4 linked regions of the Sus scrofa genome follow. The protein of the gene in region 1 purifies or fractionates together with the protein of each later gene. This does not show direct contact. Links are inferred from orthologs where the notes say so. Each region holds a gene or a part of one and is shown in the gene's direction. Other genes may lie near its edges. The genes, in order: TRAF3IP2, IKBKB, IKBKG and CD40.

Region 1 (7,446 bases):
GTGATCCCCTAATCATGAATAGAGCCTTTGTGACAGCAAGCCTTGGAAAGGCCACCGTGTCTTCTGGGAGAGCAGAGGAAAGGAAGGAGGTCAATGCGATTTGGAAACAGACCTTGTTCATTCATGTCTCGATGTATTTCACAAATATCTGCCCAGTTGTGTCCTAGGCACTGGGTGGGTGGTAGTGACTACAGCACACGTGGTCCTGTCTTGGTGGAGTTCACAGTCTACTGGAGATAAGCCTCCAGATAAGTAGAAAACAGTAAACAAAATAAAGTCAAAGTGTGATAAAGGAAATAGCCAGGTGTCAGAAGAGACATTATTAGACAGGATGGCCAAAAGAAGGCTTTTGGAGGCGAACCCATCTGGGCTGGGATCTAAAGGATGAGAAGGCCCAGGAAGCCAGGAAATTGGTTATCACCAAGGTCCCGAAAGCAAGCGAGTGGAATGGGAGCTGGATGAGCCGGGAAACAACAATTTGCTAGAGGACGGATGAGGCAAGGGCCGTGGTAAGGAGTTTGGATTTTTTTTCTACATTAAACTTCTTTAGGAAAACAGAAAATGGAACACTGTAATCCTGAATAAGGAACTTAGAACTATACTTGGTGTGTAACGAGCACTCAACAAATGCTAGCCATTTATATATATATGGTACCCAACTAAACTAGCAAGCCTTGGTCAAAACAGTGGAATGGAATTATCGAAACTTGAGCAATGAAAAGATATCCATTTACCCAACAAACATAGTTTTTTATTTCATAACTCTTCCACACAGCCAGCCAAATTCCAGACAAAAATCCGTCAAGTTCCACTTACAAAAAGGAAACCTTATTTTTTGATTGACCCTCTGATATTTAATATTTCTTTGTTTTAAGCAGTCGAAGGACAGCCTAGAGAATTATAATGTCAGTACCATCATTTTAAAAATAGATGAGGTGGATCATTTTCATCTGCTCACATAAACCAGTGTAAGTTTTTATCACAGGTGGCCATTTCAGAAATGAGAGTTACAGCTAATCAAACACTTAGCCCACATGCCTTAGTGATTTTAATGATATGATTTGTTGCTATGAGACAAAAACATGTTGTGCGAGAAATAATCTGTTAGAAATCATATGACCTTGATTCAAAGGCTTTTGATTAACAGTGCTAACATCCGCTTTCTGGAAAAGAAACAAACCCTATGATTAGAGCTGGGTAGTCCTTTTAAAGCAAATAAAACATTATGAGCCACTTATTAATGAATATGGGAAGCAAGACTGGCTCTAAGCATTAAAAACTTTCAAGGCCACTGGCAAAGTTGCTCCTCTTTTATCTTGTACTACTTCCAAATGGAAATAGACAGTCTAGAAGACCCAAGACCTAGCAGGCAAATTGTGTAGTTCTACATGGCTTCTTATGTGTGTGAAGTTGGCTTTGTTACTATTCAGTCTTCATCCATAGTGTGTGTGTGTGTGTGTGTGTGTGTGTGTGAAGTTGGCTTTGTAACTATTCAGTCTTCATTCATTTACTTTTTGAGCATCCCCTGGGGTTTGGCACTGGGCTTGGAGACATGGTGGCAAACAGATGCAGTTCATGTTGTCCTAGAGCTTAGAGTCTAGTAGGGAAGGCAGGCAAGAAATTGACAAGTAAGAGTCATGCTTTCTTATACAAACCTAAATCTGATAAGTGCTTGGAAGAAAATAAAATAGGGAGATGGGATAAGGCATCTGGTGAAGGGGTGGGCCTCTTAGAACAGATGATATCTGAGCTGAGCCCTGAATGTCAAGAAGCTGGTCTGTAAAGATATAGGGCAAAAACATTCTAGGCAGAGAGGATGGCAGACTCAGGGTCCCAGAGGTGGGGACCTGTTTGAGGCGTTCAAGATGAAGAAAGACAGCAAGGGTAGCTGGCGTTTGGTGAGCCTAGGAGAGTGTAGTAGGAGGTGAAATCAAGAAGGACGGGGAGGAGTTCCCATCGTGGCTCAGCGGTTAATGACTCTGACTAGCATCCATGAGGATGCAGGTTCAATCCCTCGCCTTGCTCAGTGGGTTAAGGATCTGGTGTTGCCATGAGCTGTGGTGCAGGTCGCAGATGCAGCTCGGATCCTTCGTTGCTGTGGTGTGGTGTAGGCCAGCAGCTACAGCTCCGATTCGACCCCTAGCCTGGGAATCTCCATATGCCTCGGCTGCAGCCCTAAGACTCCAAGTGGAGAGCTGAACCCCTTGGAATGTATCTGACCTGCCCCCAGGAAGGCTATGAAAGCAAAACCTGGGTGGTATATCTTGTCCTAGACCACAGGGGTCTCCATGGTCCTATCTCCCCATTTTTTTCTTTTTTTTCTTTTTTTAAGGCTGCACCAATGCCATATGGAGGTTCCTGGGATGGGAGTCAAATTGGAGGTGCAGCTGCTGGCCTAAACCACAGCCACAGCCATGCAGAATCCTGAACCCACTGAGTGAGGCCAGGGATTGACTCCACATCCTCATGGATACTAGTCGGGTTCTTAACCCACTGAGCCATGCGGGAACACCTGTCTCCTTATTCCTAGAGGTGCTCTCCAAGTCTTGGTCTTTATCAGCCAGAGACAGGGACCTGGGACAGGCCCAGGCAGATCCTTTTATCCTCTTGCCTTTTCTTTAGCCTCTAATGTTATGACCAGGCCTAAGCAATAGCAGGCCAAGGGTCATGGTCAGGGCCAGGAGACAACCTCGGTTAGAGGGGTGTGGTCAGCTTTGCCAGAGGAAGCATGACGGGAGGGCCCAGCTCATGTCACGGGTCAAAGTAGACAATGGGTTGAACACAGGGAACCCAACCAGGCTTAGGAGACTGGCCTGGACATATTACCAGGGTCACCCAGCCAAGTTTCCTGAGTCTAGACAGTGCGGACCTAGAGGCCACCACATTAGGAAACATATTCTTTGTCTTCTGTTCTGTATTCCCCTAAATGTTCCCCTGAAAACTTCAGTGGTTCCTGACTACTTGCCAAACTAAGAATAAAATTCTTAGCCACATTCTCACCCTCCCCATTCCAGTTCTACCCTGCTTTATATGCTGCTTTCTTTCTCTCTCTCTCTCTCTTTTTTTTTTTTTTTTTTCTTTTTTGGCCACCCTGTGACATAAAGAGTTCCTGGGCCAGGGATCAGATCAGAGCCACAGTTGTGACCCAAGCCGCAGCTGTGGCAACGCCAGATCCTTAACCCACTGTGCCCCGCCAGGGATCAAACCTGCATCCCAGTGCTCCCAACACACTGCCAATCTTGCTGTGCCACAGGAGAAGCTCCAATCTGCTGCTTTCTTGCTCGCCTGCTAGTTTTATTTCACTTTATATCCCTGCATATATCCTACCTATGCAGTAGGCAAATCTGGTTATTACTTTTGTAACCAGAAAAAAGAATAAAGACCAATAAACATCTTTTGAAAAATAAAATTCTTCCTTACCCTAACAAGCTATGCCTCCTCAATCATCCAAATTCTTACTTGGGCAGAAGTGGCATTGCTCAGATCACCAGCAGCTGCTGATGGTTCATTTTGCAGGGTTACCCCTGGCTCTCTCCAGTCCCACTATAGGGTAGGGAAGTCACCCACCCCTGAGGTGCATCCAGTCTCTCAGATTTCCCACACTTGAGCCCCTTTCCTTTGGGCCTGGACAGTTCCCTCCAGAGCCTTCCTCTCCGGCCCCTATTGGGCTCCCTGTACCCCTTCTCTGGACTTCACCTCCCTTCTCTCACCTGCATGGGCACATTGCCCTTCTTCCCTCTGGACCCTGCTGCTCCTCGGCCTGGCTGGGACCAGCTTTCTCCTGGGTTCACCCAATTCACTGCCAGGCCTGACTTTGCTCTGAGATCCACCCTCTTCTAACTTCCCTGCACCCCAGCTGCCCATAGCCTTTAGCAAGGGGGCACCGAGAAAGTTGGGAGGTATTGCCAACTTGGTTGGCTGCTTCCCAGAGTTTGAGCCAGGTTTTCATTCATTTAGTTCTTCCGAAGAGAGTGTGTGTGTGTCCACTCAAGGGAAGGAAAGGAGGGAGTCATGATTCTGTATCTCTCATGAGGATGATTTCTCCTAGCCTTGGGTTCTAAAAACTTGGGGAATTGCGGTAGGATTAGTGGTGACCTAGACTCCGTGGAATGTATCTGACCTGCCCCAGGAAGGCTGTAAAAGTAAAACCTTGGTGGTATATCTTGTCCTAGACCAGAGGGGCCTCTGTGGTCTGTCTCCCCATTCTTAGAGGTGCCTTCCATGTCCCGGTCTTTATCAACCAGGGGCCTGAGATAGATAGGATGGGTTTGGATTACTCTAAGCATTTTTATTTTTTTTCAAATTCATTTTAATTGTTTCATGTTAATTCCATTTAGTTTTTTGTTTTTGCTTTTTTTTTAAAAAAAAAAAAAAAAAAGCTTTTTGTTGCCAACTGTGTTAATATGTTTCTTTCTAAGTGTCTTATTTAAATAGGAACCTGTGTGGAGCTTTGTGGTTTCCAATCAGAACACCAAACTCATGATTTCACGGGTGTTTTTATTGAGGAAAAAAATAAAAACAATGACTCAATGGAATGAAAACTAAATAATAGTAGAGGAAAAAGGCAAACATCTCGGAGGTGGTAAATGATATCCAGAAACCTCCATTGGTAGCAAGACAAACATTGGCACTGAGCTAACCTGCCCCTCCACACAAAGCTACTAGAATCAGTGGTCGCTGTTTTCCTTGCTGTCCTCACCCACAGATGGCCACAACTACCCTCGAGAAGCCTACCAGCAAGTGATCCAGCCTGCTTTCCATGGGCAGGTGCCCCCTGGAACCAGTGCAAGAGGCCCACACCCTGTGCAGAAGGTCTTCCTGAACTATCCCAGCCCCTGGGACCAAGAGGAGATACCTGCAGCAAGAAACTACTCCTCCCCGGGGTTCCCGGGGTATCAGTAAGTGTGATGGGGCCAAATTTCAGGCCGTTTTCACCTGAGAAAGAAGGATGCCAGTGCAACCAAAATGCACAGAACTCTGTTGTTGGGGCCCAGGTTAGTGACTGAGTCACACGGGCTTTCCAGGGCAGGAGGAATCAGGAGCTGGTTGAGAAGAATCTCTTCAGTAGGAGTTCCCATTGTGGCTCAGTGGTTAACAAATCCGACTAGGAACCATGAGGATGCAGGTTCGATCCCTGGCCTCGCTTAGTGGGTTAAGGATCTGGCATTGCCATGAGCTGTGGTGTAGGTCCCAGACTCGGCTCGGATCCTTCGTTGCTGCGGCTCTGGCGTAGGCCGGCGGCTACAGCTCTGGTTAGACCCCTAGCCTGGGTACTTCTATATGCCATGGGTGCGGCTCTGAAAAAAGACAAAAAAAAAAAAAAAAAAAAAGAATATCTTCATTAGATGCATGGAGCCACTGGTGACTAGTCAAGATGCTCTTTTGGAAAGGCTCTTTATATGCTAAGTCACAGCTCTCAGTTCACCTGGCCTTTTAGCTCATGTCATAGGGTTTTACATTTAGTGACAGACTTCCAGTGCTATCAAGTTCTTTTTGCTATCCCTGGTTTCCATACCTGTTAAAACCCATTTCTTTCTTTGAAATTTTAAATTCAATTAGTTCTCAATAGATACTTAAAATAGCCTGTTATTGTCTTTTGTAATAAAAGCATTCCCTGGAGGTCCCATTGTGGCTCGGCAGAAACGAATCTGACTAGCATCCATAAGGACACAGGTTCGATCCCTGGCCTCATTCAGTGGGTTAAGTCTCCGGCGTTGCCGTGCGTGAGCTGTGGTGTAGGTTGCAATGTGGCTCAGATCCCACGTTGTTGTGCCCATGGCATAGGTTGGCAGCTACAGCTCTGATTCGACCCCTAGCCTGAGAAGGTCCATATACCATGTATGCGGTCCTAAAAAGCCAAAAAAGAAAGAGCTTTCCCACATGTTGAACACCATTATTAGATCTCTCCCATACTCCTCCCAGAAAAACAATTTTGGTTTCTCTTGACTTTAACTGTCTAATCCTTTAATCATTGTTCTCTTTGTTGTTCTCTTTGACTCTTCACACTTTCTTTTTCTCTTACTTTATGAATCTAAAACACATAGGAAAAACTCATGTAAATTGGGCTTCCTAATTTATGACAAAATTGGAAAAAGTGTAGATACAGTGTTTGCTCTTATTCAAGCACAACTTTTATATGCCACTCAAAGTAAATCTATATTCTGTTTTGACAATGGAGTGAGATATGACGGTCCTATTAAAGCAGTTTTTTGGGGGTTTTTTTGCAGAAATAGTGAAATCAGTAATTAGCTCAAAAAGTTTATTGAAAGAAAAAAAGCTGACTCTATGTACAATACCAGATAAGTCACATCTGCTTCTCCTCTTTGCTCAAAAGCCAACAAGCCCTCAGATTTTCTTTGCAGACAGATGCTTAATTTTTTACAAACAAAATTGCACGGAATTTAAATAATGGAATTAAGTCATGATTTTACAGCCAGATAAGCACTCGTGCAGAAAAAGTATCTAAAATCCCAAGAACACAAACAAAATTTAAGCATCTTTATGTTTGGTGTTGAATAGGAGAGGTAATAGTAATTTTTAAAATAAATGTTTATTTTGAAATAATTTTAGATTGACAGAAGAATTGCAAATATAGTACAGAGTAAGTGCTTTTGTAACATCAGTTTAAGCCAACTTAAATTGATGATCGCCTTGGATTTTTTTTTTTTTTTTTTTTTTTTTTGGTTTTTTCTAGGGCCACACTCGTGGCACATGGAGGTTCCCAGGGTAGGGGTCCAATTGGAGCTACAGCTGGCAGCCCACACCAGAGCCACAGCAATGCCAGATCCAAGCCGTGTCTGTGACCTTCACCACAGCTCACGGAAATGCCGGATCCTTAACCCATTGACTGAAGCCAGGGATCAAACCCGAAACCTCATGGTTCCTAGTCAGATTCATTAACCACTGAGCCACGACAGGAACTCAACCTTGGATTTTTTTTTTTTTTTATCATTTTAGGATAATGAAAAAAAATTTCTGGTAATGAAGCTAACTCTCCTCTTACTGATCTTTTAAAAGATAATCTAAATACAGGAAGTTTATACACCTGAAACTAACACATCATTGTAAATCACCTCTACTTCAATTAAAAAAAAAAATACAGGAGGAAATTAAAAAATTCCCTTGTGGGTTAAGGACCCAGTATTATCACTGCTGTGGCTCAGGTCATTGCTCTGGCGTGAATTTGATCCCTGGACCAGGAACTTCTGCTTGCTAAGGGGGTGACTCCCCCCAAAAAAAAAATTCAGAAAGTTTACTCTGTCATTACTCACCATAATATTAGTGTTGTGTTTTGGGGTTTTTTGTTTGTTTACTTTTTTAGGGCTGTATATGCAGCATATGGAAGTTCCCAGGCTAGGGGTCAAATTGGGGCTATAGCTGCCGGCCTACACCACAGCCATAGCAATGCAGGATCGGAGCCGCGTCTGCAACCTACACCACAGCTCT
Region 2 (8,113 bases), on another chromosome or scaffold:
CCTTAACCCACTAAGCAGGGCCAGAGATCGAACCCACATCCTCTTGGACTAGTAGGGTTTGTTACCGCTGAGCCACTACGGGAACTCCCATTTGTGTGGATATTTTAGATTCCATCTATAAGTGATGTCGTATGATATTTGTCTTTCACTGTCTGACTGACTTTACTTAGTATGATAATCTCTCTCTGCATCCATCATGTTGCTGCAAATGGCATTATTTCATTCTTTTTTTTTTTTTCTTTTTAGGGCCACACCCGCAGCGTATGGAGGTTCCCAGGCTAGGGGTCCAATCAGAGCTACAGTTGCTGGCCACAGCCACAGCAACGTCAGATCCTTAACCTACTGAGCGAGGCCAGGGATTGAACCTGCAACCTCATGGTTCCTAGTTGGATTTGTTTCCACTGAGCCAGGACTAGAACTCCCAATTTCATTTTTTTAAATAGCTGAGTAACATTCCATTGTGTGTGTGTGTGTGTGTGTGTGTGTGTGTGTGTTATGTGCATATATACCACATCTTCTTAATGCACTCATCTGTCAGTGGACACTTAGGTTGCTTCCATGTCTTGGCTTTGTGACTAGTGCTGCTGTGAACATGGGTTGCATGTATCTTCTTGAATTATAGTTTTGTCTGGATATATACCCAGAAGTGGGATGGCTGGATCACATGCCAACTCTAGAAAATAAATTTATTTTAAAAGTTGATTTATTAGAGAAATACTTTGCACTTAACAAATATGTCAGGCACTATTCTGGTGTTTTACAACTGTTTACCCATGTTTCTTTCTCTTCCTGCCTTGAAGCCAAGTGTGCTATTTAGCAGAGACAATAGGATAAGTGGAGAAATAATGAATGTCCTGGCGTGCCTAGAGCAGCCCTGGGTCCACTGACCCCTCCAGTTTGGACTGAAAAGTGTTCCTAGGAGTTAACTAGAGCCTTGGGCTCTGTTCAAGCAGGAGGGTCCTCTGTGTCAGGCACAGCCCTTGCCATCTTATCATCTGTCCTTCACAATAGCCCCCCTGGCACCTCCTGCCTCATGCTGCTCTGATTAGGCTAAACCTGATGCTGATGTTGCTGATGTTTCAATTGTTTCTGTTTTATAAAAAATGACAATCTCATACAACTCATCTAATATTGCCTACATTTAAATTATTCTTCTTCTTCTTATTATTATTTTTTAGGGCCGTACCCATGGCATATGGAAGTTCCCAGGCTGGTGGCCTATGCCACAGCCACAGCAACGCCAGATACGAGTCTCATCTGCAAACTACACCACAGCTTACAGAAACACCGGATCCTTAACCCACTGCTCGGGGCCAAGGATTGAACCCACATCCTCATGGCTACTAGTTGGTTTCGTTTCTCCAGAGCCACGACAGGAACTCCTAAGTTATTATTATTTTTTAAATATGTATTATTATTTAAATATTCTATTAAATTATTTCTACTTTATTGGAGTATACTGATTTACAAATTATATTAATTTCAGGTATACAACATAGTGATTCAAAATATTTATAGTCGGAGTTCCTGTTGTGGCTCAGTGGAAACGAATCTGACTAGAAACCATGAGGTTGCTGGTTCCATCCCTGGCCTTGTTCAGTGGGTTAAGGATCCAGGGTTGCAGTGAGCTGTGGTGTAGATCACAGATGCATCTCAGATCCCGAGTTGCTGTGGCCCAGGTGTAGGCCGGCGGCTACAGCTCCAATTCGACCCCTAGCCTGGGAACCTCCGTATGCCATGGGTGCAGCCCTAAAAAGCAAAAAAAAAAAAAAAAAAAAAAAAAAAAAATTACAGTCATAAAACATTGGCTATGGTCCTTGTGCTGTACAATATATCCTCGTAGCTTCTTTCATAAATAGCAGTTTGTACCTCTCACTCCTCTACCCCATCTTGCCTCTTTCCCCTTCCCTTTCCTCACTGGTCACCACTAGTTTGTTCTCTGTATCTATGAGTCTGTTTCTTTTTAGTTATAGTCATTAGTTTGGTTTTTTTAGATACATAACATACAGTATTGTCTTCCTCTGTCATATTTCACTAATCCATCCATTAATGTGGCCTACATTTTATCTTTTATTCTTTTTAAGTTCCCGGGCTAGGGGTGGAATAGGGGCTGCGGCTGCTGGCCTATGCCACAGCCACAGCCACGCCAAATCCCAGCCAGATGTGTGACCTATGCTGCAGCTTGCGTAGGATCCTTAACCCACTGAGCCAGGCCAGGGATCAAATGCACATCCTCATGGAGACTACGTTATGTTCTTAACCCACTGAGCCAAAATAGGAACTCCAGTTGCCAACATTTCAAGGAAGAGAAATGGATGCCTGGAGTGGTCCAGGCCACTTGTCCTAATGCGTCAGAGGTAATCAACAGCAGTATCTGCATTCAAAATCCCGTTTGCTTCCTTCTAAACCTATTTGTATCCTACTTTTACAGCCTTTTAAGAACTTGGGCCCAAGAACTAGCTGCTGGGGGCTGAGTATCTGATCATCATCCACTTACCAGTCTGTGATTTGGGGATAAAGACTTTTTTCTCTGTGCTTTAGTTTTCTCATCTGTTAAATGGGGGTAATAATACTGCACTACTGTCCAATTTGTAGGTTTCCCTTGAGGATTGAATGAGGAAACCCAAGTACAGAGTTTAGACAGTGCCTGGCACTTAATAAGCACTCCTCAGGTTGCCTTTGATGCTTTTTCTCCTGCCAACACACACACACCCTTATGATGCCAAGTAGGGAGGTGAGAATCATTAACCCCGGGACTGAAAGCTATTCTCAAAATTTCCGCACGTCCCTGGGGCTGAAACTGCAGTTTAGTATTAAACCACCAGATTTTTCCCCCCATTCTTTATTTTTTTAAGGGTGGAGAGGGGACTGTCACGTCTAGGGACTACAGGTGTGATTTATGAAAAGAGCCAAGGAGCCTCCAGACAGGGGGGCGAGGGAGCACGGCCCCCAGGACAGACTGCCACGGCAATTCTTGTAAACTGTCCCTAAATCAATCCCGGCGGGGGCTGGGAAATTCCCCCCATAATAAGTCTAGGAAGCAGGTCAGGCTGACCCCAGAAGGGCTGGGTGAGGAAATCCCCATCTACCCGGTCCCAGGAACCGCTCAGGTCCAAGCTGTACTTCTAAAGGAAACTCCCGCCTTTTACGATGGGTTTTAGGGCTGGTCCCCAGCCGGGCGGGCGGAGCGGGGGCGGGGATGGGCGTGGCCTGGGCCGCGCGCCACGTGCTCCGTGACGTCAGAGCAGGAAGTGTTTGAGGAAGTGGCGCTCAGCGGGTGGGTTGGAGGTTCCCGCACTTCAATGTCTTTGGGGTGGCGCCCCCACCCGCGCCCCCGCCCGCGTCCCGCCGCCAGGTGAGTCCCTCGGGCGGGCGGCCGGTGTCACCTGCCGGGCGAGTTAGCACCCCATCTCTCCGAGGCCCCCGGAGATGTTCTCGTGGGGCCTGAGTCGGCGAGTTCCTGTTGGGGGTGGGAGCTGAAGGCCCCCCGAGCCCGGCCCTGGCGGGGTGGCGCCGGGTGGTGGCAGCGAGGTGGGAGCCCGGGCCGGGGCCGTGATTCGTCCACGCCGCGGTGACGCAAGACCGCGGGGAGCTGAAGGGGAGGCGTCCCAGCCACCAGGGCAGGGCGCCCGGCCGGGGTCCGGCTTGGGATCCCCTTTCAGGTCTTGTAGTTTGAGGGCCTCTCCTCCCTTCTGCTTCCATGCAGCTTGAGGGGGGGCGGGAGGTTGGGGGTGGGGGGGAAGACAGGAGTTTCCTACTAAAACCAAAACCAAACGGCCTGGTTTATTTACAAGATAAAAACCAGTTCCGATTTTTCTCTTTCACATGGAAGGACCATGGTATCTCTTACTTTGTCCATGCCCTTGAGTTCCATTTTTTTCTTAACCATCACTTTTTGTCCCCCGCCCCGAATTGCTTACAGAGTTAGCAGGACATCAGTATGAGCTGGTCACCTTCCCTGACAACCCAAACATGTGGGGCCTGGGAAATGAAAGAACGGCTTGGGACAGGGGGATTTGGGAACGTCATCCGATGGCACAATCAGGTAGGCCCTGTGCTGCTGGGAAGAGCCGGGGTGGCAGGTTTGGGGGGTTGTGGGGGCAGACTTCTGCTCCCTGCCTCTGCTCCTTGGGAATGGGGCTTGCCTTGGCCATGGACTTCATGAGAGAAGGAGCCTGGGCAGGGGGCGTCAAGGGCTCCTGACCTGACTCTAGGTTCAGGATCTCCAAGCTTTATTGACTATGCCACCTAAATAAATAGTTAAAAAAATAAAGCAAAGTAAATTTTCAAAGTTCCTCTTGTGGCTCAGTGGTAACGAACCAGCCTAGTATCTATGAGGACTCAGGTTTGATCCCTGGCCTTGCCCAGGGGGTTAAGGATTCCACATTGCTGTGAGCTGTAGTGCAGGTTGCAGATGTGCTCGGATCCTGAGTTGCTGTGGCTGTGTCCAGTAGCTGCAGCTCCAATTGAACCCCTAGCACGGAACTTCCATATGCTGCAGGTGCAGCCCTAAAAAAAAGTAAGCTTTCAGCTTCAATTCTATGTATTTAAAATTACGTAGCTATGCTAACATTAAACTATCACCTACTAATATACACAATATATATATCACATTATGAAAGCTACCAAAATATAGAAAGATCTAAAGGGTGAAAATAATAAAACATTTCTAAATGTTTATTATTTATGTTTTAAAAATTAATTTGAGGAGTTCCTGCTGTGGTGCAACAGTTTTGGCGGTGTTTTGGGAGCGCTAGGATGCAGGTTCAATGCCAGGCCTGGGACAGTGGGTTAAGGCTTTGGCATTGCTGCAGCTGCAGCTTAGTTTGCAACTACAGCTCAGATCTGATCACTGGTCGGGGAACTCCGTGTGCCACAGAGCGGCCAAAAAAGAAAAAAAATTAATTTGAAAAATATTTTAAATATCTACCAATTATGGTGTCTTCCCAGTGTTGTTTGCCATACTTCAACATGAATTATATGGATACACACAAAAGTGAGAATTATTGCTAAGGATGATGGATGAACATCTTCATTTCAAATAGTTCTTACAATTTTAAATCATTTGGACCGATTTTCTTTAGTCTGGGAGATCCTCACTGGGTTTTGGTTTGTTTGGTTTGTTTGTTTTGGTTGCACCTGCGGCATATAGAAGTTCCTGGGCCAAGGACTGAATCTGAGCCGAGGCCGTGGCAACACTGGCTCCTTTAACCCACTGCCCCAGCTGGTGTCTCTGCAGCGACTTAACCCACTGCACCACAGTGGGAACTCCAGAGCCTCACTGATTTTATTCCTTATGTGTCTGCCGTGAGTTTCTCACACCACAGTGTTAATTATTCCATATTCCCATTCACTTTGGTGTTATATGCACTGACATTCTCCACAGGGATCTCCAAGCTGCTCATCCATCTTATGAGTTATGTTATTAAAATTGCATAACATCAGAGTTCCCGTCATGGCTCAGTGGTTAACGAATCCAACTAGGAACCATGAGGTTGCGGGTTCGATCCCTGGCCTTGCTCAGTGGGTTAAGGATCTGGCATTGCCGTGAGCTGTGATTGCAGACTCGGCTCGGATCCCCCGTTGCTGTGGCTCTGGCGTAGGCTGGCGGCTACAGCTCTGATTTGACCCCTAGCCTGGAAACCTCCATATGCCACAGGAGCAGCCCAAGAAATGGCAAAAAGACCAAAAAAAAAAAAAAATTGCATAATATCATTTATAAATCTACCTCAGTGGGGCACACAGAACCTGCCCCATGTCCCCGCATGCCTCTGTCCACCCCTTGCCCATGGAATGCCCTTTTTCATTGGGGTACCTCGAGTGTCAGAGGAGACAGGTGATCCGAGGAGGGTGCTGTACACTTAGTATCAGGAAGACTTAATTTCCTCTGAATTTTTTTGGATTCCAGTATTGTATATTGGCTCGAAGGTAGCCATCACCCACCAAATAGCTAAAATTAGCTTCTTGACTCCAAGTTCAGAACCCCAAAGCCCCTGAGGGAGGGCGCCTTCTTTTTAAACAAGGTCGGCAAGCACATCTCTGGACTGAAGAGATGGCAGGTTTCCTACCACAGGGAGGGTCATTCAGGCCACTGGGCAGCCACGGTGGGGCGGCGGCGGGGGGGGGGGGCATTTCAGACCACCCTCTCTATCAGTTGGAAGACATTTGAGGCCCTGCACTGTATCCTGTCAGCTCTGAGCAGATGGAACAGTCCCTGGAGGAATGTGGGGGCCAGAGCTGGAGGGCAGAGGTCAGGTGGGCAGGCAGTAATTCTCACACTCGCCTGGGAAACTCTGACCCCAGCAAACCCTGTGGTTGGCTGGGCAACCAGAGGCCTAGCTCACCACAGGAGAGCCAGATCCTTCCACTGCCCCACACAGACCTGGGCTGGGCTGCTTGCACACAGGCTGGGGCTTTTAGAGTCTTGACTACAGCAAAGGTCTCACTACAGCTGGACTAGATACATCTTGGCTTCCTTCAAAAAAATTTCTATCAAGGGAGTTCTGGTAGTGGCTCAGTGGGTTACAAACATGACTAGTATCCATGAGGATGCAGGTTTAATCCCTGGCCTCACTCAGTGGGTTAAGGATCTGCATTGCTGTGAGCTGTGGTGTAGGTCGCAGACGTGGCTCACATCCCAAGTTGCTGTGGCTGTGACATAGGCTGGCAGCTGCAGCTCTGGCTCAGCCCCTAGCTTGGGAACTTCTATGTGCCGCAGGTACAGACCTAAAAAGCAAAAAAAAAAAAAAAAAAAAAAAAAAAAAAAAAAAAACCAAAAAAAAAAACCAACCCAGACTGTCAGGATGGGCCACTTGTCTGCCATCTCTCACCCCAACTGGCCTTTGTCTTCTTTCGGGGCTCAAAAAGCTATCAACAGATGGAGTTTGTTGCTGGCTTTACAGCTATGAGTGTGTGTGTGTATTCATCTTCTAGAATTACTACTTTTGCGTTCCTTCTCCTGTTCAGAAACTTAGTTTGTTCTTTTTTATTTATTTATTCATTTTTTCCTTTCTTGGCTGCCCCATGGCATATGGAGTTCCCAGAACAGGGATCAGATCCGAGCCTCAGTTGCGACCTAAGGCAACTCTAGATCCTTTAACCCACTGGGCTGGGCCGGGAATCAAACCTGCATCCTGGTGCTGCAAAGATGCCACCAATCCCGTTGTGACACAGCGGGAACTCCTAATTTGTTCTTAATTTTTATTTTTATTTTTTTTATTTTATGGCTGCACCCGCGGCATATGGAAGCTGCCAGGGATTGAATCTAAGCCACAGCTGTGGCAACGCCAGAGCCTTTAACCCCCTGCCTGGGCCAGGGATCGAAATCCACAGTGACCTGAGCTGCTGCAGTCAGATCCTTAACCCACTGCACCATGGTGGGAACTCTTTTTTTTTAAAAAAGCCAAAAGCCAAGCTCTCCTTCTGCCATTGGAAGCCCCTCCCCTCCCTGCCTCTCCCCTGTGGACTCCCAGCAGATCAGTCCGCCGAGCCCCCTCTGGGACAAGCCTGTGTCTCCTGGATGTCTTGCTGTAAATTCTGCCCATTCCTACAGGACGGGCTGCACCCACCTCCTCCACAGACGAGCACAGGTCTCTTCCGCCTGTGGGCATGGTTCTCCCGGGCTGCCTTCGACAGCCCCTGTGCGCTGCCTTTTTGTCTGTGCAGAAATGTTCTTGATCAGCCTGGGCTCTGTCTGCCTTTGGGTTTCTTTCTGTTCCCCCATAGCGACTCCGTTTATGTTCTGCACGTGTTTGGGGCACAAAATCATCCACTTCTTGATAAAGTGGATTCCTGGGGAAGGGAAAGCACCATTAATCAAGTCTTATAGATGTAAGCTCCCAACTGTGATAATCGTGAGCCGGGAGAGGGGCCCAGTGCAGTGGGACCTCAGGCCAGGGGGTCTCCAGGAAAGCAGCACCACACGGGAGGCGCAAGGGTTGGTAGAGGTTAGCCAGGCAGAGAAAATGGACAGGGGGTTCCAGGCCGAGGGTGCAGCCTGTTCGGAGCCCCTGGCGAGGGCTAGGTCATGGCAGGCAGATGTGAGCAGAAGGGGTGAGGGGCTGGCTGACGTGCCAGAGGTGGCATCAGGCCCCGCCAAGGAGGACGCTGCCGA
Region 3 (7,140 bases), on another chromosome or scaffold:
GCGTGTGTGTGGCAGGGCCGAGCCCGCTGGCCTGGTCGCCTTCCCGGTTCCCCGCCGGGCTCGTCTCTACCCCCACTTCTCTAAGAGGCACGTGTGTCATTTCTAGGACACTGCCACGTGTTTCTTGCCTTTTTTCTGTGCACATAAAAGAGACTGCTGGAGGCGTGACGCTGTCTGCAGTTTTGTGGCTGACTCTGCTCAGTTAATGACCCCGCAGTTGCAGGCTCTGGGCATCTTCCTCTCTTGTCCCCCCACGTGGCTGAGATGGAAATGCTGGCTGGCAGCTCAGGGCAGGGAGCCTGCTTGCGTCTCCCATCGCTCGGTGTGGCCATTTAAACAGATCCAGACTTCGTACATGTGGCGGCCCTTTGAGCGCCAGGCCTGTCACATCAGAACGGCTGTCCTCCTTGTTCTCGGGCCCCTGGCAGACAGCACTTCCGTCTGGCGATGACAATGCCGGCAGCTAAGTTTTGTCGGGTCACAGATGGACATCTGAGTTGGATATAGCTGGCCAGGTGTGGAGATGAGACCAGAGGAGAGGGCCAGGAGCCGCCCCCCACTCAGAACAGCCACTGTCGCCCCCGGGACACAGGATGACGTGGCTGCAGCCTGGAGCTGGGGATGGAGGGAGCTGTGAGCAGACATGAGTGTGGAGATGCGAGGCGGGGCCGTGGGGTGACGGGCCCCCATCAGAGGGTCAGGCCCCTTGGGGGACCCGGGTGAGGAGAGCCGAGCTGTCACAGCTTGAGTGTGGATGGATCCAGGATCTTCTCCCGGGCAGGCAGGTGGGAGGATCTCGCAGATGTAGACGTTTGGGACTCCAGATGGGCCAGCCAGCCACCTCCTTGCCACTGTTAGAGCGGTGGTGGCGGGCGGGGTGGGGGAGCCGTGGAGCCACTGACCCCACTTTCCACCCCCCACCCCCGCCTCACCTCACTTCTCACCTGCGCCCGCCCCACCTTCTAGAAAGGCTGTCTTTGCTGACTGGCTCTACTTCCTTTCCTCCACTGAGATTGCTCTGGCCATGGCCCCCAGCACCCACCTCTCGGAACCCCACGGGCAGGTCCCTGGGGCTTCTTTCCCCTGGGACCCCCTCCTTCACCCCTGGCCCCAGTGCCTTCTGCTGCAGTCTTTCTTGGTGCTGCAGGGTTCCTCGAGCACTTTTGCTCCTGCTGGGGCCCTCCGGTGACCTCCCCTTCCTGCCACCAGGGTTCGCGCCACTAGCGAGCAGGTCCGGCAGCTGGAGAACGAGCGGGAGGCCCTGCAGCAGCAGCACAGCGTGCAGGTGGACCAGCTGCGCCTGCAGAGCCAGAGCATGGAGGCCGCCCTGCGCATGGAGCGCCAGGCCGCCTCGGAGGAGAAGTGAGTGCCGGCTGCGGCGGCCTTTGCCTGCCCGCGTTCAGATCTACCCTCTGGCCCACGTGTTCAAAGCCTCGGGGCCGGGGTCCTGTGTGCCACTTGCATGCCCTTTGAGTCTTCTTTAGTCTAGACCGTCCTTATGCTTTTCCCGATTTTTAATGGAGTTGACTTTTAAAATATATTTTTTATGTTTTTTTTTTGGTCATGTCTATGGCATGCGGAAGTTCCCGGGCTAGGGATCGAACCCAAGCCACAGCAGTGACCTGAGCTGTGACAGTGCCAGTGCCAGATTGTCTTAACCCACTAGGCCATCATGGACGTCTAAAGCTGACTTTTTTTTTTTTTTTTTTTTGTCTTTTTGCCATTTCTTGGACCGCTTCCGCAGCATATGGAGGTTCCCAGGCTAGGGGTCGAATCGGAGCTGTAGCTGCCGGCCTGCACCACAGCCACAGCAACGCGGGATCCGAGCTGCATCTCGACCCACACCACAGCTCACGGCAGTGCCGGATCCTTTAACCCATTGAACAAGGCCAGGGATCGAACCCGCAGCCTCGTGGTTCCTAGTTGGATTCGTTAACCACTGAGCCACGACAGGAACTCCAGGAACTCCTATTTTTAATTTTTATTAAAAAATGTTTCTGGTGGCTCAGTGGGTTAAGGATCCAGTGTTATCACTGCTGTGGCTCAGGTTGCTGCTGTGGTGCAGGTTTGATCCCTGGCCCAGGAACTTCCACATGCCACAGGTATGGCCAAAAAAAAAAAAAAAAAAAAGTTTCTTTTGGCCGTGTCGTGGCAAGGGGCAGTTCCCAGGCCAGGGATTGATGCCAGTGCCGCATCCTTAACGCAGTAGGGCCACCAGGGAACTCCGAGGACAGCTGTATCTTATTATAAGTGTTTCTTCTGATGCTTTAAAAAATGCTACATTGAAGAAAAGTGATGTCAACGAGTTGGCAAAGCTTGCCTCGCGGCTGACTGACGGCCTCTGAGGCGCAGAGCCCTCCCTGGAAGGCACATTGTGTAGTGCGGAGACGGTGAGAAGGCAGAGGCTGCAGGTGGAAGCAGTGAAAGCCATGGCTGGGGCAGGACCGGGTGGTTCTCCAGCCAAAGCTCCTTTGCCTCAGGCGGAAGCTGGCCCAGCTGCAGGTGGCCTACCACCAGCTTTTCCAGGAGTATGACAACCACATCAAGAGCAGCGTGGTGAGCAGCGAGCGCAACCGAGTGAGTGTTTGGGGGCGGGTGTCCCCCAGGCTGCCTGGGGCTGACCTAGCCCTGCTGCTCTCCCTGCAGCCTGGGACCAGGGGAGCTCCCCCTTCGGGCAAATCCCAGGCCCCACCTTCCCAGACCCGGGAGCAGCCCAGGGGGTTGGTGACGCTGCTGTCCGTGGCGGGTCTCTCCCGCCGGCTGTCGGCGCCAGCTTGGCACCTGGCTTGGCTTTCTCTCAAAATGTCTCCGTATTACCGTTGGGGGGCGCTGGGAGCCCTTTTCTAGGTTGTCCTCATCTAACCTGCACGGGGTGCGGTTTCTAGTGATCACCTTTTAAGAAGGACGCCGTCCAGCGTGAACTTGTCTGGAAGAGACCTGTAAGGGTAGAGCCTGGTCACGTGAGAAAGAGTCAGTTACAAAACCGTGACCCTTTGGTCTGCAGAGGGAGGGAGGGCTGGATGGTCTGTGAGTGGTCTGTGTGTGCGTGTGTGCGTGGGGGGGGGTCGTGTGTGTGTGTGTGTGTGTGTGTGTGTGTGTGTGTGTAGGGGGGGTCATGGGTCATGTGAGGGACAGCAGACCTCTGACCAGGTGGCAGAGTGGAAGGACCCATGGGCCTCAGCTGAGCTGGCATGTGGTGGCGCATTAGTGCATGGGACCCGCTCAGGACAGACGGTGGCCCGTGCCCCTCGCCCCTCGCCCCTCGCCCCTCGAAGGGCCGGAGGAGGGCTGTCCGCCGGGAAGGGCGAGGCAGCGCTCCGGCCTCGCCTCCGCTTTCCGGGGCTGCGCGCACAGCGATGCCCCGGGCGCGGCCTGGCAGCCGGGCCGGTCTTGGTTCCTCTTGGTTCTTGCCTGGCGTGGCAGCCGGCCTGGGCCAGCTCGGGCTGCTAGCCCCTCGCCCGTCTCTAGGGATTGCAGCTGGAAGACCTCAAGCAGCAGCTGCAGCAGGCCGAGGAGGCCCTGGTGGCCAAACAGGAAGTGATCGACAAGCTGAAGGAGGAGGCCGAGCAGCACAAGATTGTGATGGAGACGGTTCCGGTGCTCAAAGCCCAGGTGAGCCTGGCCTGGGGGGCCTGCCTGGGGGCCTGGCCTGGGCGCGCTGTGACTTCGAGGCCCTCGCGGTGTTCCTGGACCCCTCCGGGCCCTCGGGGTGACCGGCTTCGCGCCACGGGCTCTGGGGGGGCAGGAGCGGGTTCTGCCGGTGCCCCGGCAGCCGCGTCTGGCAAGAGGCCGACGGCCGGCGGGCGCTGCCCCTGTCTTGGCTCTGCCAGGCCGACATCTACAAGGCGGACTTCCAGGCCGAGCGGCAGGCCCGGGAGCAGCTGGCTGAGAGGAAGGAGCTCCTGCAGGAGCAGCTGGAGCAGCTGCAGAGGGAGTACAGCCGGCTGAAGACCAGCTGCCAGGAATCGGCCAGGTGGGGGCGCTGGGGCCGGGCCTCCCCCTCCCCGCCGCCCTCCCGCCCCGTCGGCTTCCCCGCGGGGGAGACTGGCTCGTCCCTGCTGATCGGACGGTTTCTCTTCTCCAAGGATCGAAGACATGAGGAAGCGGCACGTCGAGGTCTCCCAGCCCACCTTGCCCCCCGCCCCAGGTGAGTGAGCCCGGGGGCCGGGGGGGGGCTCGGGGGGCAGCTGCACCCGCCACCCCTCCCCCTCAGGGCTGCTGATCCCGCTCATTGGATCCCAGGGTCCCATGGAGTCCCTGTCCTCTGCCCCCTGCAGTTTGCGCGTGGGGACGCCCGCGGAGCCCGCCCCCACGGTGCCCGCTCTTTCTCCGCAGCTCATCACTCCTTTCACCCGGCCCTGCCCAGCCAGAGGAGAAGCCCCCCCGAGGAGCCCCCCAACTTCTGTTGCCCCAAGTGCCAGTACCAGGCTCCCGACATGGACACCCTGCAGATCCATGTCATGGAGTGTATCGAGTAGGCCGCCCGCCGCCGGCCAGCCCAGGACGCTGCGCTCTCCTGCTCCGAGACTGAGGGTGGCCCCTTCTCTGGGCCCCGGAGCCAGCTGCGGGCCTCACGCCTCCGCCCCGCCTGCTGGTCGACCTCTTTCTGGGCGCACGGAGCCCAGCCAGGCCTGACGCTCTGCTCTTTCTGTTTGTTCTGTCTGCTTGAACCGCTTGTCTCTGGAGCTCGCTCATCCTCTGCCTGCACCAGCGAAGTCAGGAGTGAAGGCCGGGCTCTCGGAAGGAGCTGCTTCCCCGGCCCAGACGGGCGGGACCCCTCCTGCCAGCCGCCTGGCACAGGGCAGCGCCGCGGGCGTGGGCTGAGTGGTGGCCTGGTGGCGGCTGCGCCGAGTTGGATCGAACCTGTCCGCTGCCCATGGACACTGGGTTTGTTACCGATCATCGTTTTATGGTCATAAATGACTCTGCACTGCAAAGCCCTGGCCATCAATCGTGTGTACCTCTGAGTTGGCTTCTTAGAAGCAGCACCCCTGAGCTTCTGCAGAGGGGCTAGTCGTGCCGGGGTCCTTCCCCCAGGAGTGGTTTCGTGCCCCGTAGCCTTGCCCCACGTCAGGGGGGTCCAGCCCGTGGGCTTGTGCCATCTGCCAGACGTGCTCTTCTCTCGTAAGAGTGAGCATAGGAGTTCCCCTTGTGGCTCAGCAGGTTAAGAACCCGATGTAGTCCCTGTGAAAATTCGGGTTCGATCCCTGGCCTCGCTCAGTGGGTTAAGGATCCGGTGTTGCCATGGCTGTGGTGTGGGCTGGCGGCTGCGGCTCCGATTCGACCTCTAGCCTGGGAACCTCCATATGCCGCAGGTGTGGCCCTAGAAAGAAAAATAAAGAAAAGAGAGTTTGAAGCTTGAAGGAGTTCTCCAGTGGCCTCGCAGTTAAGGATATGGAGTCGTCACTGTCGTGACGCTGGTTTGATTCCTGGCTCAGGCACTTTCGTATGACGCGGGTGAGGCAAAAAGAAAGCTTGAGCATCTTTCCAGAGCTCGAAGGGTCCTTTTCAGTCGTTCTAGTATAAATGGCTTTTTTCCATCATTTTGCCCTGTTTGCTGCTGGACTGTTGGTCTTTTGTTCCTTGACTTCTACTAGAGGCTCTTGACTCGTTAGTGGGATGGAGTGAGAGGAATTGCAGTTATCTTTTCCCACCAACTTGGTGCTGGTGTGTTTGGACTCGAGCTGGTTCTCTTCGTGTAGTCACATTTCTCCACTGTTCCGTCACGGCTTTGGGTTTGCTCAGACGTTTTCCCAGCACTGCAGTGTGTGCCTTGTCCTCCCCAGAGCACTGCCACACAACCAGCGCAGGGGGGCGTGTTTCATCACCTTCCAAAAGTCTCTCATGCTGTTCTTGCACCAGCCCTGCATGGCCTGGCCTTGCCAGTGGCAGCCACTTGGTAATCTTTGGCAGACTGCCAACAGCGCAGGCCTCTTGCGTGTTGTTCTGCAAGATTCTGGCTCTTTCCGAGGCTGTCAAAGCCATGGGCGTTGGCCTTGCAGTTGTCAGGAAGGATGTCCCCCCCGCTGCTGCCGAGGGCTGGCCTGCTGGGGAGTGGAGGTCACGGGCCCAGCCCCGGCTTTTGTCCAGGGCCCCCTGCTCCCTAGGGTCGGGGTCTGGGTCTCCTGCTGGAAGCCGGCCCAGCCAGCGGCCTGTTCTGAAAGCAGAGCCTGGCCTGGGGACTTGCTTGTCAGCTGCAGGTGTGGGAGGAAGACCCAAGCGGGGTGGAAGGAGGGGGGGGCGCTGGGGGGCGAGCGATCCTCAGGACCTCTGCTCTGCAGCTGGATGCCACTGCCGGGGTGATGGGCGTGGAGCTGCTGGGCCGCCTGCACCCTGGGTGCTGGGACTGTGCTGCTGAGAGGGGCTCAAGGAGGAGGCAGGACGCGGGCCCCCCCCCCAACCCGCCGGGGCTCTGGCGGTGGCGCCCCCAGAGGCTGCCCAGCAGCGGCCGGGAGCCTCCCATCGCCCCCGCCTGGGCCCTGGGGGGCCACTGCTCTTTCGGACCTTCTATTCCCGGAGGCTGGGCGCCCTTGCTCGCTGCCACCTTCTCCGTGTCGGGCCGAGCGTCCGTTAGAGACCCAGGGTCTGAAAGCAGGCCGGTGGCCCGGAAATGAGTGATTCCACTGTCTCTCTGGCTTTCCTTAGGTTGGGCTTCCGGAACAAGTGGCCGGATTCTTGCCATGAGGGAAGCCGCTTGCCCACCTTATTAGCTGTGGCCCCTTGCTCGTCACCGTCCTGGGTGTGGGAGGGAGAGAGACGGCTGGACGCACAGCCCCGGTGTCGCTCCCCGCTGCTCCACAGCGAGCCAGCCAGTAAGAAAGGAACCCAGACGAAATGGGACGTCAACATAGCAACCAGTGAAGACTTCTGGTGCCTTCCTGGCAAGGGGCAGGGACAGGCCTGGGATGTCGCCCCTTCTGTGGGACGGAACAAGCACTTAGGGACAGTGGGTACCCACAGAGACTTCGGCATTTTAGAGGCTCACGGCTCTGTCATCTGTCGCCACCAAAGACCACGGTGAGATCAGAGGCTGCACTTCTGGACAACACGGGCCTCTGCAGCCAGCGCTGTGGACACCCTGTCGCCCGGGGCACACTCTGGCCGAATAGACAAAGTCCTGTATAAAGTCTGGCCCCAATA
Region 4 (6,519 bases), on another chromosome or scaffold:
TCCGATTAGATGCTGCTATGACCCACCAGCTGAATCCAGTTGAAATCTTCATGGCTGATGATCAGTGATCTGGCTCCAAAGACCCGGTTTCCCATAGTTTCCTATGCCATCTGGCACGTCACCTACCCATCCTTTGTGTTGTGTTGTCCTGCTGAAACAGAATATACTGATGCTCTAAACTGTATATCCCTCAGGCCATACTTCTGCAGGGGAGTCTTTCTGGATGACCCTTAAACCAGAAATTCTCAACTGAGTAGTTTTGTTCCCCCAGGGACATTTGACAATATCTGGAGACATCTGGGTTGTCACGACTTGCAGGGGTGGGGGGAGGGGGCAGGGGGAATGCTACCAGCATCTAGTGGGTAGAGGCCAGGGGAGCTGCTAAACATCCTACAGCATTCAGGGCATTTCCCCACCAGAGGAGAAGAATCATGTGGCCTCAAAATGTTAGAAGCGCTGAGCTCGAGACACCCCCACCATCTCTCTATTCCAGTCACTACGGATTCTGATTCCTCTGAATGCTTCCCAGTTCACGTTAGCCTATATCGCAAAGCTTGGCACACATCAGAGATTCGCCTATGATTACGCCTTTAAGATGTGCAATAATCTCTTCTCTGCACTCTCAAGTCCCTAAGAACAGAGTCGGTGTCTTTCCTGTAATAACCAGCCCGGGAGGGTATGCATAATATGTGCTCAGTGGGCCTGGACTTGCTGGTTGCTGACTGTCTCCCTCTGGGGATGGAAATCTTATGACTGGGGAAACTTAATCTCCCTTTCTGTGTGTGTGTGCACGTGTCTGTACACAGCTGCGAGAGCAAAGGCCTGGTGGAACAACGTGCGGGGACTAACAAGACCGATGTTGTCTGTGGTAAGTCCCAGAAAATGGGCCCTAGCAGCAGGCTAGGAGGATGGGGAACTGAGGGGGTGATGAGGGGGTCCCCTGGAAGCACTGGTAGGGAAAGAGGGAGGGGAGGTGAAGCGAGAGGAGGAGGCGGTTTGGAATTGTGGTGGCCCAGCTCTGCCACTTTATCTGTGGAGCCTGGGCAAGTCACCTTCCCTCTCTGCACCTCAGTTTCTTCTTCTGTAAAATGGGATACTACCACCTCCCTTAAGGGTTGGTGCAACGGTCTAGGGTGGGTTCTTGCCCTCTCATCACTCTTCTGCCGCCCTGCATAGTGAGGACCAGTATGGTATAACACTGTTCCCTCTTGGGACCTTTTTTTTGTTTTGTTTTGTTTTGTTTTTTAGGGCCACACCTGTGGCATATGGAGGTTCCTAGGCTAGAGGTCTAATCGGAGCTGCAGCTGCCCACCTACGCCATAGCCACAGAAACAAGGGATCCGAGATGCATCTGCGACCTACACCACAGCTCCTGGCAATGCCCCGTCCCTGACCCACTGAGTGAGGCCAGGGATCAAACCTGCAACCTCATAGATACTAGTTGGATTCATTTTGGCTGCACCATGACGGGAATTCCTCGGGGCCTCTGTTTTGATTTTAGAGTGAGGAAGCTGGCCTGTAGCACTGATCGCAGACTCAAAGAACTACAGGGGGGAAAAAAAAGTCAGGATCATGTTCATGAGTGAAAAAGGTCAGGGCAGAAAGAATACACCCTCTGCGCTTTTTCATAAAATTCGCTTTTCTCTCCATGGGCCTGGGACTAGAGTGAAGGGAGGCACTCACCTTGGGCACAGTATTTAGGGGGGTGCCAGAAAAATGCAGTAATTAAGACAAAATGCAATATATACTCTTTTGGCCATGCCTGTGACATGTGAAAATTCCCAGGCCAGGGACCAAACCTGTGCCATTAGCAGTGGCCTGAGCTGCAGCATTGACAATGCCAGATCCTTAAACCACTGCACCACAAGGGAACTCTTCAATATTTTTAAAAAAATCAAAGTTAATGCAAAATCCATAATGAACAAAGTAGCAACACTGTAAATAAAGACAACATGCAACTCTGCACTTGTACAACCTTGCTTCACCTGCCTCACCGTAATCCTGGCCCTGGTTCCAATAAAACTTTATTTAAAAAACAGGCAGCTGACCTGTAGGCCAGAGTTCATGGACATGATTTTTTTTTTTTTTTTTTGTCTTTTTGCTATTTCTTGGGCCGCTCCCGCAGCATATGGAGGTTCCCAGGCTAGGGGTCTAATCGGAGCTGTAGCCACCAGTCTACGCCAGAGCCACAGCAACGCAGGATCCGAGCCGCGTCTGCAACCTACACCACAGCTCATGGTAACGCCGGATCGTTAACCCATTGAGCAAGGACAGGGACCGAACCCGCAACCTCATGGTTCCTAGTCGGATTCGTTAACCACTGCGCCACGACGGGAACTCCATGGACATGATTTTTTGAAACACGACACTAAAGTATTGTCTAGTTCTCTTGTGGCTCAGCAGGTTAAGGATCCAGCACTGTCACTGCAGTGGCTCGGCTCGCTGCTGTGATGCAGGTTCACTCCCTGGCCCAGGAACTTCCACATGCTGCAAGTGTGGCCCCCCAAATTATTATCTTAATTACTGAGTTTGTTTAGTGTCCCCTTAAATTTTGTCCCAATACGAGTATGTCACTTGCCTTAGTCCCAGTCCCCACCCTGCCTCTTGGTCGTTCTTTCATTTTCCCATTTAGAATAGAGGTCGGGTACAAGAAATGCTTTCCCTTCCACTGCATTCTTCTCTATCAAGGCAATGGTGCGGACCTAAGTGATGCTGTACCTTGGTGTTAGGAAAAGAGCTGCGGTGGGGGGTGGGGAGTGTGCTGAGCTGGTGGAGACTGCTCTCACTCAGGTCTGGCCAGTGGGTGCCAGGGGGGGCCCCCTGGGGCTGCATCTTCCAAATTTCTAAGAGAAATCAGATATCCAGGTTTTAAATATGCAATCTCCCAATTAAAAAATGTTGGCAGGAGTTCCTTTCGTGGCTTAATGGTTAACAAATCCGACTAGCATCCAGGAAGACGCGGGTTCGATCCCTGGCCTCACTCAGTGGGTTAAGAATCCGGCATTGCCATAAGCTGTGGTGTAGGTCGCAGACGCAGCTCGGCTCTCACATTGCTGTGGCTCTGGCGTAGGCCGGAGGCTATAGCTCTGATTCGACCCCTAGCCTGGAAACCTCCATATGCCACAGGTGTGGCCCTAAAAAGACAAAAAAAAAAAAAAAAAAGTTGGCAAATATTAAGAAAAAAAAGCATGCCAGTCACACTAGAGACATCTACTGTCTACGTTTTGCCAGGGGCCACCTGTTTGAAACCTGTGATATAGATGAGTTTAGACACTGAAGGATTTGAGAGTCCAGCAGGGCGCAGCGGCTTTGGGCAGGGGGTGGGGAGCCATTGCTGAAGTCTCCATTTCTCCAGGTTTCCAGAGTCGGATGAGAGCCCTGGTGGTTATCCCCATCACGCTGGGGATCCTGTTTGCCGTCCTGTTGGTATTTCTCTGTATCAGTGAGTCCCCAGGCGGGCAGGTGCTGGGGGAGGAGGGAGCAGAAGGTACCGTAGAACCGGCCACCTGTTTCCTGATCTGGCCTCACAGACTCCCCACTCCACTTTCTCTCTCCCCACCCCCTTCTCTCTAGGAAAGGTGACCAAGGAGCAGGAGACTAAGGTAAGTCACCCCAGGGAACGGGCTTGGTTTGGGCACACCGGAAAGAAAGACTGACTCCTTGTTGTCTGTATGGCAGCAAAACTGATTCAGGGTCTGTTCCTGCAGCCCGTCGGGTGGCAGCAGAATTGACTACTCATCCCCTCCCCTCTGCTCCAGGGCTCCTCCCTTGCACTCCCTCAGCACCAGCTTTGTCATCTCCCCAGCTCACCTTCCCACGGGGCTGTCCCTGCCCCACTGGCAAAGTCTGACATGTGCTGTTCCCCCATTCGATACATGCGACAACCTCATCTTTGGGGCCTTGCTGTGGGGTCCATAGGTGGGTGCTGGACGGACAGCTCCTTGAACCCACTGGCTCTGGCTACCAAAGCTTCCTGACACCCTCAGTATGGCCAGCAGGGGGCAGGAGGCACCCGTTTAATCGACTGGCACTGACCCTCCTTTTGTGAAAGGGGAAGGGGCTTGGGGCCAGGGGTGGGATCGCTTCCAGGGAAGGGCTCAGAGATGTTGCTAGAGGTAACCCCAAGCCTTGTCTCCCCAGGCCCTGCACCCTAAGACTGAAAGGCAGGATCCCGTGGAGACGATTGATCTGGAGGATTTTCCCGACTCCACCGCTCCGGTGCAGGAGACCTTACATTGGTGCCAGCCCGTCACCCAGGAGGATGGCAAAGAGAGCCGCATCTCCGTGCAGGAGCGAGAGTGAGGCTGTGCGTGGCCAGGAGCGTGGAGGCACGGGCACAGGGGCATGTGACTGGAGAGCCCGGGGCGGCTGCTGCTGCTGTGGCGGTGGTGAGAGGGTGGTGCTGGGCACAGCCCCCTCTGCCTGCACCCCTGCAGTCCAGATACAGTCCACCTCGAGGAGCTTCTCACCCCAGCCCTGGAGCCCATTCAATCTCAGTTTGCTTTTAAAGATGGAGACAAAACTTTGGGGAGTCACAGCCACAGTAATAACCACCAGAGCTTCCAACCCAGAGGTTCAGTACCTGCAGATGCAAGGGATGGCGTCTAGGAGCCCAGGAGGCATATACATGACTGTCCACCACTGCATTGTTCGTGACAGTGAGTGACTGGAAACTGCTTAACTGTCCATCAACAGGGGACTGGCTAAATAAAATTGTAACATGTTTATGCAACAGGATCTCAATAACACTGTCATGGGGGAAAAAGCAGGTTTCGGAATGGTGGGCACAGAAAATTTTTTTTAAAACACGTAACCCCACATAATATATCCTTTACGGATGTGTGTATAAACATAGTATATTTATAGATGTAGGTATGATGGGGTGCTGGCGGGGTTTCTGGGAGAATGCACAGAACATGCACAGCTCAAAGAATTGTAACATCTTGGATGAGGAAGACGGGTACGGGGGAGGGTTGGTTAAAGAAAGATCTGACTTTCCCATAATGCTTCATTTTTTTTTTCCCCTAAAAGGAGAGTGAATTCACACACTGCTTATGTAATTAAAAAGTCATCAAACATGTAAAAAGAAAAATGGGGGTGGACATGCTGGGTGACATGAGCTGTTTCGCATGCTGTCAGGCTCACAGAATTAGGGCACTTTCTGAGGGTGAATAAGAATGTCCCCAGGCGGCTGCCCCTCCAGGGCAGTTTCCGTATGCACTCACATTTGGCATCGTGTTTGCAAAGGGTTCTCCCTATTTGATTCACAGTAATAACAGCAGCCTTTGGAGCAGGCTGGGCCAGCATCCTGCCCTCCCTCTGCCCCTCCCTCCTTGTTTAACAGAGGTGGAAATGGAGGCCCAGAGAGGTGAAGTCACTAACTTATGGTCACACAGCAGTTCAGAATGGTGTCACACAAGTTCCTTACTCCTGGTCCTTTGCTACTTTTCCCAGCCCTGCTTGTTCTCTGGAGCCTCTATCTGCAGCCCCTGCTGTCCTGGGGAGCCCCTGGGCGTCCCACCTCCTTTTGACCTCCCAACTGCTCTAGGAGCTGCTGCTTCTCAGTCAGATGGTGCCCCCTTCCCCCCAAGCAGTATCTCAGGATAAAAATAAACCGTCCTGTTCTCTTTTCCTGCTGTGCCAACTGAGGGGGAGCCTAGCCAGGAGGAGCAGCAGATGGAGTGGGAGCAGAGGGGAGGGGGGGAGAGGGGAGGAGAGGAAGGTTGTAGGACAAGGAGGGGAAGGAAGAGCAGTGCAAAGCCCCAGCACGAAGATGCATGGGGAGGAGGAAGCTGGGCTGATTGAACCCAGGGATCTCACCCTTTCTGCCTGTGCCAAGTTGCTTTGGATTTCCCAGTGTCTCCTGCTGCCTAGAGGGTGGAGGAGGAGAGGGCTTGTCCCCAGTGGTGGCTATGAGGGCAGCTGGGAGCCACAAGAGGGGCACCTGGCTTGGCAGGCTTCCCAGAAGAGCTTCAAGAACCATTTGGATGCACCAGGGGGAGATGTTTGATTTAGAAAGCAGGGCAAACAGGTGGAGGAGAGGTGGGGAGAGGGGAGCTCGCTTTTGCCCCCTACCTAGAGTCTAAATGCTAGCATGACTTCTGTACAAGACAGTGTGGTGGAGAGAGACAAAAGACCCACCTCTGCCACCTCTTATCTGTGTGACCTGGGGTAGGTCATGTTGACCTTTTAGCATCTCAGTGTGCTCATCTGGCAAATGGAGACAATCCCCGTAGCAGATGCTCTGGATGCTTCCTCTGTTCCCTCCTAGGTCACTGGTTCTCGATGTTGAGTGTGTATCAGAAGCCCCTATGAGACTTGTTAAAAGACAGATTGCTGGGCCCCCCCCTCCAGAAGGATTTAGCAGGTCTGGGATGGAGCCTAAGACTTTGCATTTCTACAAGAGTCGCAGGTGGTGCTGCTGGTCCAGGGATCGCACTTTGAGAACTACTGCCCTTGGCACTGGCATTTCTAGATACATAGTTGGTTTCCTGTTGCAAGCACTTTGAATCCCTTACC

The links.
Region 2: the proteins of TRAF3IP2 (region 1) and IKBKB purify together in Homo sapiens (affinity purification with western blotting; 3 studies listed by BioGRID, with this or other methods). This does not show direct contact. The link is inferred for Sus scrofa from reciprocal best matches to the Homo sapiens genes TRAF3IP2 and IKBKB.
Region 3: the proteins of TRAF3IP2 (region 1) and IKBKG purify together in Homo sapiens (affinity purification with western blotting; 3 studies listed by BioGRID, with this or other methods). This does not show direct contact. The link is inferred for Sus scrofa from reciprocal best matches to the Homo sapiens genes TRAF3IP2 and IKBKG.
Region 4: the proteins of TRAF3IP2 (region 1) and CD40 purify together in Homo sapiens (affinity purification with western blotting, with the first as the bait; 3 studies listed by BioGRID). This does not show direct contact. The link is inferred for Sus scrofa from reciprocal best matches to the Homo sapiens genes TRAF3IP2 and CD40.

The regions. Positions count from the first base shown.
Region 1 is NC_010443.5:77,508,069-77,515,514, reverse strand, and holds part of TRAF3IP2 (adapter protein CIKS), read left to right. Parts: intron 1-4,705; coding exon 4,706-4,898; intron 4,899-7,446. UniProt on the Homo sapiens protein: E3 ubiquitin ligase that catalyzes 'Lys-63'-linked polyubiquitination of target protein, enhancing protein-protein interaction and cell signaling. Transfers ubiquitin from E2 ubiquitin-conjugating enzyme UBE2V1-UBE2N to substrate protein.
Region 2 is NC_010459.5:11,286,394-11,294,506, forward strand, and holds the start of IKBKB (inhibitor of nuclear factor kappa-B kinase subunit beta), read left to right. Parts: upstream 1-3,940; coding exon 3,941-4,045; intron 4,046-8,113.
Region 3 is NC_010461.5:125,049,289-125,056,428, forward strand, and holds the end of IKBKG (NF-kappa-B essential modulator), read left to right. Parts: intron 1-1,209; coding exon 1,210-1,362; intron 1,363-2,480; coding exon 2,481-2,577; intron 2,578-3,468; coding exon 3,469-3,612; intron 3,613-3,830; coding exon 3,831-3,973; intron 3,974-4,085; coding exon 4,086-4,147; intron 4,148-4,335; coding exon 4,336-4,478; downstream 4,479-7,140. UniProt on the Homo sapiens protein: Regulatory subunit of the IKK core complex which phosphorylates inhibitors of NF-kappa-B thus leading to the dissociation of the inhibitor/NF-kappa-B complex and ultimately the degradation of the inhibitor.
Region 4 is NC_010459.5:48,293,457-48,299,975, forward strand, and holds the end of CD40 (tumor necrosis factor receptor superfamily member 5 precursor), read left to right. Parts: intron 1-806; coding exon 807-868; intron 869-3,355; coding exon 3,356-3,442; intron 3,443-3,573; coding exon 3,574-3,602; intron 3,603-4,140; coding exon 4,141-4,302; 3' UTR 4,303-4,732; downstream 4,733-6,519.